Drosophila melanogaster: one gene and its partner. The protein of the gene in region 2 purifies or fractionates together with the protein of the main gene of each other region. This does not show direct contact. Each region holds a gene or a part of one and is shown on either strand. Other genes may lie near its edges.

Region 1 (5,606 bases), on a different chromosome or scaffold from region 2:
CTTAGGACTTTTCTACCTCTTCTTTGAATGTCTTTTCGAAACTAGTTTTCTTGTTTTAAAATAGCCAGAATTAAACTTGAATCGATTTTGGGTGGAGCTACTTTGCTTATAAATGAATTGTGTCTTTATAATTGATGCTATATTATAAAGAGGTTAATTAAAAGCGTATTAATTGCATGATTTGTAGAACTGGCAAATAATAAAGAGATATGACTAAATAATTAGGAGTTTTGCAAGTTAAGTTATTCAAATTGAATGAAGATATTTCTGTAGTTTTTAGGTACATGGAACAACTAGTATATTTCCATGTCCATATAGAGATTTTCTCCGTGCACCTGCTCTTTGAGCCCTGGCATTTGTGAGCTGCCGACAAAAGCAAGCTCGTGAACAGTTTTGGCCACATTGTCTCTATGGGCCAGTGGCTGTTAATGTGGCACGAAGTCGCCAAACTGCTGCCACCGAAGTCTTCCATCTGCTAAATGTCAGGCCCCCCTGGACCCGCGGACTGACCTTCCCCAGGCGGAGCTCTTCTTATTTCCCATGTCTGCTATGACATTTGCCCATTCGTAATGGAATTCGGCGAGGGTACGGCTTCCTAGCCAAAAGCTTCCCTTTCCATTCAATTTGGCCAATTTGAGTGGCTCTGCTCGTCGATCGAATGCATAATTAAAATCGCATCGAATCGAACCGTCGATTTCGTCGTTGGCACTGTAATTTGACTCCGAGTTTTTCCTTAATTCAGCGACTTAATGGACTCGTTAGACGCGCCTCGCCATAACCACTTCATCATCATTATCGCCTTAAGTATCATCATCATGAGCACAAACTTTGCCCTAACCACCGAATGAGGTCTCTCCACTTTGTTGATACGATGCAAAAAAAAGTCAAAAAGACGAAAAGAAGAGTTCTTTGTGGAAAAATCATGGTCTCGGTCTGCCTAGTTTGTGCAAATTATGCAAACAATTTGGTTAAGTGTAATTGAGTTGGCCAGGCCAAGAGCGTGTGGCAATTTCTGTTTCAGTTTCCAGGCCACATGCTGCAATTGCTCCAAGAACTTGGATTCAAAGTCGTAGATAATGTGATTTGTCTGCCAGCAAAAGTTCCACTCGCAGGGCGTGAACTTTTCAATTCTATAAGCGTTAATTTGATTGTCACAACTTGTCGGAAAGAAAGTACCCAGCACTGGAGAAAAATGATGATGGATTATGAAAGTGTTGTAAAGAAGAGTGTGATGTAAACACGTTTGCATTCATTGCTACGCACGCTGATTATTAGCTTTGCATACTATCAGAAATATTCAGGAAATTCCAGAAAGCACTTTTGATAACGTACATATTTCGAGAAGTTCTAAATAAAATTTTGATAATTCTAACGAACAATAAGGTGTCATCTCTCGGATCGAATCCATCCCATTTAATTTCTCGCTGTGTTGGAAAAATGGCATTCGCATTAAATATTCAGTAGGCAGGAAGGAAGGACTCGGGACGCGGGAGTGATTCAAGTGCATTCAGCGAGTTTGCTAATTAGTAATGAATGACAAATGTTCGCAGCTCATCCCCAGCTGCCTTAACACCCGGCTGGCCCCCATGATTAACCCATGGCGAAGTGCTTTAATGCCAGTCAGATGCCGTCATGGAGCGTGTGCACACATAAATTTTACAATTCACCTTGAAATGTAAGCATAAAAGGCGTCCCCGATGGAAATCGCAATACCAAACCGGTTCAAAGACTTTGCTGAACATTATAAAAGCGAAAGATGAGCTGGGAAAAAGGCTGGAGCGAAATGGGCGCAAAAACCAGACAAGGAAGTGGGCCAAATAGCAGCTCCTTGTCGACATTGTCCTCACTTTCATTGCATTCCGCACATGGATGGAACTGGTGATCCACTTGGCAGCCACTTTCGTTTTCGCATCCAACTCTATTATTGCCAACCGGTCGTCATTGCCGAACTAATTAGCAAACAAATAATACTGATCAAATGGACGTAAAGGCGAAAGGCCGAAAAAGCAGGCGGGGAGCAACGAACCAGATTGCGGCTAAATTATAAATTTCATAAATTAACACACCTTGCTCGTAAGTTAATTGAAGCTATTGAATCCGATTGTATTTTCAAAAATACACGCCTAGCCATTAATCATCCAAACCAGAGTCTAATTGGTTAAGTATTTCCAATTAGACAAGAAATATCCCGCTAATAAGAGCGGCTAAATGAGGTTTGTGTCCGTGCTAAATAGGAGTCACTTCAACTGGGTTTTAATCATAGACATTTACCAGGTACATTATGTTATATATGTTATACATTTAAAAAAGGATTCTGTTATATAAAGAGTAACTTTATTACCCTTTAAAGTAATTGTATCCTCTTTACAAACAGGTTTGAAAACAGTTTAATAAACTGGTTATTTTTAAGTCACTGATTGACTACCTAATATTACTTATTCATGTAATTTGCTACTGAAATGTATAGTTAAAGGAAGAAAACAATTTGTTTCAAATCTATTGATTCCTTGCTGAACTAGGCCATCCTTTTTCGCACAGTTGGCAACGCAGTGTTTATACCCTTTGCATTGGAAGATGAAGTGCACGGGAAACGAGACCAAAACAAATGCCTACAATTGACTACGTGACTGCGGCACTTCCTTCTTTTCGCCCCCTGATCATCATTATATAAACACACCCAGACGGACGTAAAAAGTACATATACACATTGACGCCTATGCCGCACAGACTTTTTCGAGTCCAGATATTTAGAGGCTTATCGCCAGCGGAGATGGAGGAGGAGGGAGGAGCATCAGCAGTAGGAAATGGGGAATATGTGGGGGCAAAAAGCGGTCAATTGAATCGCCATGTGGTGACAACAAGTGCATATAGAATAGTATGTGAACACTCAAATCAGTTTAGTTTTTTTGTCACAGCGCAGCAGAGCATTTCTCTCTAATCAAAATCGAATATTCAATTTAGATGGCCCACATTCCCGTCATTCAAGTAAAAAGACTCGATTATTGTTATCAGTGCACGACGGATGCCGGCAGGAGGAACACGTCAGAAGTTCTAGAAAATGTATCTGTGGAATTTCTTTAATTTACCCTGTGTTTCTTATGCGAACTTGTTGCTGGATCTCAATGGATGTCAATGAAACTGGCCGCCTTCTTTGTTTACAATTCAACGAGAACACCTCGATTGCATTGCCCACCCGCACTTCGTATCTTATAGATACATTTTATGCACTCTAACTGGAAGCACACAAATCACGTTTGTTTTAGATATTTTCGTTTAGACTCGAATTTAAGGATTGTTTTCTCTGGTCCCCCGAGGAGTAAATTCCCTTTTTCACAGTTTTGACTACAAAAATATAATTTGTGTTTCTGTTTAATTCGCGTGCGCGCGCCGAGAAATACCGACTGGAACTGATTTTGTTTTGCTGCCGCCTCGAATATAGATAAATACCGACTTCCAGATCCAGAAAGAGAGAGAATTTCTGGTTTCTGTTTCGAATTTAAGAGAAGAGCACCAATTTCGAATTTCGAAGTTCAATTTAATACCACAAAAGAGAAAAAGAGTTGAAAGAGAGAAACTTGTACAGCATTGTGGATTTCATTCGAACAGCTGTTTGCGGATCGTATATGGTGGCGGGCAATTTGAATTGTAATTGGTAAAAAGGTGAAGCAATGTCAAAAGACTACTAGAACAGCCATTTCGATCAAAATTAAAAACACTTCTCCTTAGTTTCAACATAATTTGGCATCTTTTTTATTCGCGTTTGCAAAAATAAAGCTTTTCCTTCGTCACTTACAAATGGTAAATAAATACATGGATTCAGTGTTGATTTTGTTTTTGATGGGCCCTACAACTGTCTGGCCAGGAATATTTATAAAATCACTCCACACGGATATCTAATCCTAGTCCTCCTTAACGGTGAAGGAATGCGTGAGTCCCTCGTAGGGATACTTTCCGCCCAGGATGTACTTGTACTCCCCGGAATGGCGAATGCGATATTCCCCGGGAAGAGTCTGCGGACTGATGTCCCAGTAGATGTCCATTTCGCTGAAGCCCAGGATCGTATTGGTTCGGTGCCAGACCATTCTGAAAAGTAACGATTTTATTAAGTACCAACATTTATAACCTCAAGCTGGCGCTTCCTACTTGGTCTCCCAGCTGGCATCCGTATAGGCCACCTTCCAGCGATCCTCGTTGATCTTTCGCTCAATGGTGAAGTAGGTTTTCTCGGTGAAGAGGTTGTTACGCGGATTTCCGGATATGTAGGTGACCTTCACCGTCTCGTTGATGCCGTACTCCTTGTTGGGCTGCGACTTCACGTAGCCAAAGTCGGTGTTTATGGGATGTCCGTCGAAGAGAACCCCGGTGTTCAGCGATAGCATCACATCATTCATGTACGGCGGACTTGGACCCGCATCCACGGTCTCATTACGCATCATGGCCTTGGTCAGGCGTTCGAAGACGTCCATGTAAATGGAGTGGGTATGGGGACCGAAGATCGTGGAGGCGGCCTCGTAACGCTGCGCCTGGTACTCCTCCGGGGTCACCGTGTAGCTGGTGTATATGTTGGTCAGTCCGGCGATGATTACCTCGGTGTCGATGCCTCCGACGGCGGAGGCAGCTGCTCGAATCTGGTTTCGCAGACGACGTCCTGCCATTGTGGTGAACTCGCAGGGCACGGCGGCTATGATCACATCGCCGATCTTTAGTAGCTGATCCGAGACAATCTTTGGCTGCCACTCATAGGGAAAGGTGGCCTTAAATATGGATAATGTACATGTTAGATATGCTTAAAGTGCACTTAGATTTTTAAATAACAGTTGCGCATTAAGTGATGACCTATAGCCTGGCTATAACTACCTTACCTTGATTTTTATGAGCTGACAACTAATTTGCGTAACGTTTCAGTTTAATTACCCCACTTAAATGTGCATTATAAAAACAAAATCCACTACATAAATTTATGTATTCTATTCCAAAATTGGTATTTTGTTCCTTTGCACTATTAAACACATTTAAATTTATTTTCTGATGCACACAACACTCAACAAAGTTCCAAACAAATGGAATGATTTTTGTGCTGCATACCTTTAGGCAATTTCAGAAATTCTTTTAAAATCGCTATTGTTTTTTTTCAGACTTGCTTTTTAGTTAATAATAATTGATTAATGGAAAAACTCACCCTGCCGGTGGCCAGAAGAATGGGCTTGGGCTCATGGCACTTGATGTCCTCCTGCGTGGGAGCAGCGATGAAGTCGCGCACAAAGTTCCACATGGGGTTGTCCGTGGTGGTTCCCTGCTCGAAGCTGAAGGCTCCAGGTCCATCGGTGGTACCAGCAGCAAAGCTATAGCCCATGGCCGGCTGACATCCCCTGATCTTGTCGACCTTCCTGCTCAGCGGATTGTAGGTGCTGCCATTGTAGTTGGGCATGTCCACAAACTGGTGGATGAACCTCACATCTCCAGTGACCTCCCGTGCCGTGGACTCCTGGCTCTGTTCGTTGAGCAGTCCCAGAGCAGCATCCGCCAGACGTTGACCCAAGATCTGGGTGCTTTCGAACATATCCTTACCGGGTCCGGAGGCAAAGCAATCTCCCTCGCCAGTGGGA
Region 2 (5,534 bases):
TTTTGATTTTTATGGGCGTCATCAAATGCGGCGAGCAACATTTGCATGTCGAGCAGAAACTAACCGAATGCATATAAATTAGTTTTAAGACTTTTAATACCCTAGTTTTTTCTTTGCCAAGGGAGTATTAGCTTACTGAACGCATGCAAGTCGAATCAAATGTATTTTTTATACAGTATTTTTATCGGTTCAGTTGCTGCTTAACACGCAGATTAACTTCTTCTTGTATGCCCAAATTTAAAATTCTTAATTGATGATGGCAAAAATATGCGCATTAAAGTGCTACATATATGTACCATGATAGGTTCCTTTAAGATTTGATATTATTAGTTGGCTTTTTACAATGTTAGCTTGAGCTAAAACATTATATTCAAATATATCTTGCTTTTAAAAAGTTAAAGTAAAGATAGGTGATGTTCAGCAATCATTTATGTCACCGCTGTAACGAAGCTACTATTATTTCTATCTTTAGGACGACAAGAAATTCTATTTACTTGCTTTCCAGCGGATTCCTTGAGCTTGCTTACACGAAAGTTTTTGCATTGATAGCGCACAAGAAGATTGTCCGGACTTATTTGTCTGCCAATCCGCCTGCCTCGCGATCTCTGTCCGTATGTCCATCCGTCCATCCGTCCGTTCGACTGTCCGTCCGTCTGTCCGTCTGCGCGCCTGTCCGTCCAACTTCACTCAACGAGCGCCACAGTTGGCGTCTGCGTCTCGAGTTGCTGCTGTTGTCTCACTGTCAACACCAAGAGGTATGCAACATGCGGCAGCGCGGAAGGAGGAGCAGTGGGATAGTGGGGGCAATAGTGCCTCCGTCGCAGTCGTTGACAACTGCAGCATGAGTCTGCGGAATTGAGTTGCTGTTGCTGTTGCAGCTCGCTGTTTACTGTTTGCTGCCTGTTGCTGGCTGGCTGGTAAATAATAAATGCGTTGCTCGGGAGAATGCGAGATGGGAAATCAAAATGCAAGCGCTGCCAGATTTTTTTGCTGGATCCACTTGAGGCGGCAGCAACAATGTCCCCCGTTTCGGCATGGCTTCGTTTTGTTTTCCTCCGCCGGGCCGTTAAGTGCAAATGCAGCAGTAGAACAAGCAGCAGCAGCAGCGGCAGCACGGCATTGTTGCAAGTACGAGTATCTTTTGCACGTTCTCAATATGCATTTCTGAATTACAATATGTTGATTGCATTTCGCCGGCACGTAGACGGAACACATGCACTCCAGGGCTTCCAGCCGCCATAATAATGATGAGTATTGAAATTGCCAACAATGCAGTGCATTTCCGCAGCTCCAGCCCCCCACCCACTGCCTCTTCCACTATCAGTCCCTACTCGGCTTCCTTTTCTGCGGTCTGGTGGCCTTTGTTCTGGCCAGGATCCCTCCCTTAGCGGTTCGGGCCAAATTACTTTATACTCCTGTACGGTTCGTTGCCAGGGTAATTGATATGGCTTTGTTTCGCTCGGCTGTTTCTGTGTTTCGCCCTTTTGTTGAGCGGAAAGTTTGTTTCTGGAATGGAAAGCCGCCAGCCGAGAAACCTCATTTCGCTTCCTCCTCCCGAAGACGGGGTAAGACGTGGTAAATCCCTGAACACAACATTAAACATACCACCCCAGACCACGAAAAGCTACTCCCAACCTCCTGCCAAACCGCAGATGACATAATTAATGAGCCTTTGAACCGTCCATAAATACAAAATAGTTCATATTCAGTTGTTGTTTAAGTTGCACATGACCTGTGTATAAATCAATTTAATATTTCTCCTTTTCTCGTTACAGGTAAGTTGATATACGACAGCCAGGCGACTCCTTTCTCTTTGTTGGCCGTGCCAGTCACAATGGCAACATCAACAACAACTTCCAGCAACTTTTTGAATTGTGTGAAGGCGGCACGTCAATGTCATTGGGACTTAAGGTAAATGGCGAGGGAAATTCAAATTCGAACTCCAGAAAGCCGGGCCAACTGCTTGGGCGAAAATTACGATGACTTGTCACACGAGCCCGGTTTTTCTATTAGCTTTTTTGGTGGAACTATTCAGTGGGGATTGTTAGCAAATTAGCACAACAGAAAGGTTCATAAATTGCAATTTATTTGGAATAACTATGGATTTTTACCTGTGCACCTTTCGAACAAGAAAAACTAATAATGACAAAATTAAAAAAGCTCTCGAGAGGCTAGGCTAAGTCTAGGGAGCTTGAAATCAGGATGTACTAAGCGTGTTCTGCCAAAAAAAAAAAACCTTATATATTTAAATACACAACTGTATCATACATTAAACCGAGCGCATCGAATCCAAAAAACATCAAAAAATGAGGCCCACGCAGCACTCCGTCATAAACTCCTTGGGGAAAAAGATTTCGAATCAAACTATCAACGATTCGCACTCCAACAAACATAACTTCATGGATATGGAACAAGAGGAAAAGCAGCCTGAGCATATGTACATGGCCACCCAGACCGTGGAGGACATTCTTAATGAGGTCCTGTGCATGCAGAATTTCCAGCAAAAGCAGTCGGACAGCAACCTAGATCAGTTCTGCCACTCGGAGAGGTCCAGGGATCGGAAGCCGGGCGACGATTTGGACATGGACCCGCGACTGCGCAGCTGGAACCGCGTGCTGCAGGAGCGTAGGCGACTGCAGGATAGGATCGCTCGGCAGACGGGTAAGCGGGCCGAGGACGTGCTCTTCAATCGCTCGGCGACCATCGACGAGGCCAACAAGCGGATGATTCTGCGCGTCCTTGACACCGCAGACAGGTCACGACCTCTTGCTCGCCTCAAGGACAATGTGACCTTGAACTCCCTGAAGCCGCGCTGTGATCCCCATCTCTGCCGCGAGATTAAGGAGCTGTACGCCGCGAAGCCGCAGTTGCAGGAGGTGGAGTTCGTCGGCCTGCCGCAGGTCACCCAAAAGGAGCTGGCTGCCACCCGCCTTCATTCCAACGAGATCGAGAGCCAGTGGCAGCGCTCCCAGGTCTTGAGCGAACGACTTGAGGACAAGAAGCACTCTATTCGACAGGTGCTTGACTTTGCGCCCGATCTAAATGGGCTGCAGGTCACGCCGGCCTTTGTGGGCTCGTCCACTAAGAATCTGCCGATCATCAAAATCGACGAAACTTCCTTGTCTAATATCTCCGGGAACTCCACTCCGGAAGAGGAGGAGGATTCGGAGTCCGATCTGCTGTCCATAGAGGGGGAGGTAAGCGATAGCTTTCAAGAGGCGGCACTCGAGGATATTACAAAGGGAATTGTCGAGAGTCAGGACATGGATGACGTCAAGGACGTACAAGGTCTGATGATCAACGGGGTGATCCTTGATTACCGCAATCCTGTCGGCGCCATAAGCAAAAGCATCAATATGCTGCTGCAATGTGAACCATATGAGCGCGTGGTGAAGATACTTTTGGACATTCAGGTAAACTGGGGTTCATCTTCGTGTCCTTTTCTGTGGGGACATTAGTAAATATTAGTACGAGGACATACTTGCTAACACAATGGCTTCCTGCAGAATCTAAGTCCGAAGCTGGTGCACGTCTATTGGCTTAGTAAGAACCGCTTGCGTTCCGACCGGCTGCCCTTGAACTCCGAGATGGTCTTCGACCGCAGCGAGTTCATCCTGGAGCCACAGGGTCGCCGCCTCATTCGTGTGATGTTCCAGCCGAAAAAGGTGGGCCTTTTCACGCAGCGATGGCACGTGAACTTCCAAAAATCGCCCTTCTGTGGCACCCGCCGCCTGGACGTCGTTCTCCAGGGTCAGTGCACCATGCCCGTTCCGTTCCAGAGACGCCTCGAGGGTCACCGACAGGTGCCCCTAGATAAGCAGCAACAATTGCAGGCCCAGGGCCTTCTGCAAATGCAGGCCAGTCTGGCTCCCATTATCGAGAACCCTCGACCATTGTGTCCCTACCAAAGACATCTTGACGAGCGCGAGGTCTTTAATGCCCAGAACTTCTCTTACCGATGCCAGCGATACGAGGATCTGGAGGCTCTCAAGGACTTATATCAACTGGCCAAGAAGCCTCGCGATAGACCCTGGGATTTAAGTATCGAGACCCTGCGTCACTTTATTGGCAAGCAGGAGAGTCGCTTCCTGCGCGAGAATCTCCACAACAAACTGGTTGCTTTGCTCCAGCCGATGAAGTGCAACAGGTGCTCAGCTTATCCCTTAATGGAACACAATACGGAGCGGGATAGATCCCGCTTCATTTACGTGCGTGGCACTATCGCCAGCAAAATCGACGAGTGGGAGGCAATGGTTTTTGGGCTGGATGAACAGTTCTTTAAGCTGGAGCTCCTCCACTATCTAGGGGAGAATTCTTCTCTTCCCGTCGCCTCAGAGCTAGGCCAGAAGAATCGCCAGCAGGGTCCAGATGAAAACGAAGAAATTCAGATCGTGGAGAAAGTCTCGAAGAGAGTCAAGGCAAGCAAGTACCTCAAGGACTCTCTCTATATGCACACCTACAGTCTGCTCTGTGATGCTGCCGAGGACATAGTCTCCGTCATCGAAAGCACCGCTGATTAGCATTCACAACACCCTTTCCCAGTTTTGGTCATATTTTTTTTAAGTGGCAACACCCAAATAAAATAAAAAAGCATTTATTATAGATATGGGGCTTCATTTTTTTTCGCTGTTAGACTTATACACTGGACTTACATATTGTACCGACTTAACAATTATTGAAATCACAATCCATTCACCACACCAACGAGTCATATAGCTAGCTTGAAACTAAGCCTTTTCAATTCGAGTCAATATATATTTTATAATTGTTCAAGTTAACTCGAACCCCAAACTGAACCACGTTACAAAATGGAGGGCATGGAAGATATTAACCTCAAAACCAACGGGTCCGATACCTTTTCGAAATTTACACTGGCCAACATGGTGTCGCTGCCATCTTCTTTGACCGAACCGACGACCCGTTCGACTGCACAGGCGCAGCTGAATGCCGAGTCCCCCATGGGCAAGTACACGGAGCGCATGGTGGAGGATATTCTGACCGAGATTTTCAAGGAGCGACGGGGGGACTTTCCAGAGACCTCATCCTCTTGTCACGCGGCTAATATTCCGTGGCCAATTAAGGAGCGGGAACCGCACGTGGACAAACGGCTGCGATACTGGAAGGAGGTACTTCACCAGCGCAAGTTGATGCAAGAACGAGTCCAGCGGGAAACGGGCAAGCTGGCCAGTGAGGTGCTCTTCAACCGCCGCTCCACGCTGGACAACCGCGACGGGCAAATGGTGAAGCGCGTGCTGGACTACGCGGACCGCATGAAGGGCGAGCGTCTGATGAGCGCGCCACTTTCCAAGCTGGGCGACCAATTGGATCCATGTACCTGCCAGGTAGTTCCTGGACTGCAGGCCACGACACCGAAAGCGGAAAAGGTGGGCTACAAGGATTTAGAGATCGTTGGCATGCCAGAGGTCTGCAAAACGGAGATCTTGGGTAAGGAGGCCATGGAGCAGGACCCACCACCAGGCTGGCTGCAATCGGAGTTCCTGGACAAACGACTGGAGCAAAACTTTGTAGACATC

What was found. Proteins that work in one complex are often made in the same cells at the same time.
Region 1: the proteins of CG11060 (region 2) and PH4alphaEFB purify together in Drosophila melanogaster (affinity purification with mass spectrometry, with the first as the bait; one large-scale study listed by BioGRID). This does not show direct contact.

Annotation. Positions count from the first base shown.
Region 1 is NT_033777.3:30,463,855-30,469,460, reverse strand, and holds the start of PH4alphaEFB (prolyl-4-hydroxylase-alpha EFB), read right to left. Parts: upstream 3,412-5,606; 5' UTR 3,087-3,411; intron 1-3,086. Other genes in the region: CDase (ceramidase), read right to left, coding at 3,900-4,083, 4,144-4,754, 5,180-5,606.
Region 2 is NT_033778.4:7,173,690-7,179,223, forward strand, and holds CG11060 (uncharacterized protein), read left to right. Parts: upstream 1-2,196; 5' UTR 2,197-2,306; coding exon 2,307-3,413; intron 3,414-3,506; coding exon 3,507-4,520; 3' UTR 4,521-4,601; downstream 4,602-5,534. Other genes in the region: CG33140 (uncharacterized protein), read left to right, coding at 4,809-5,534.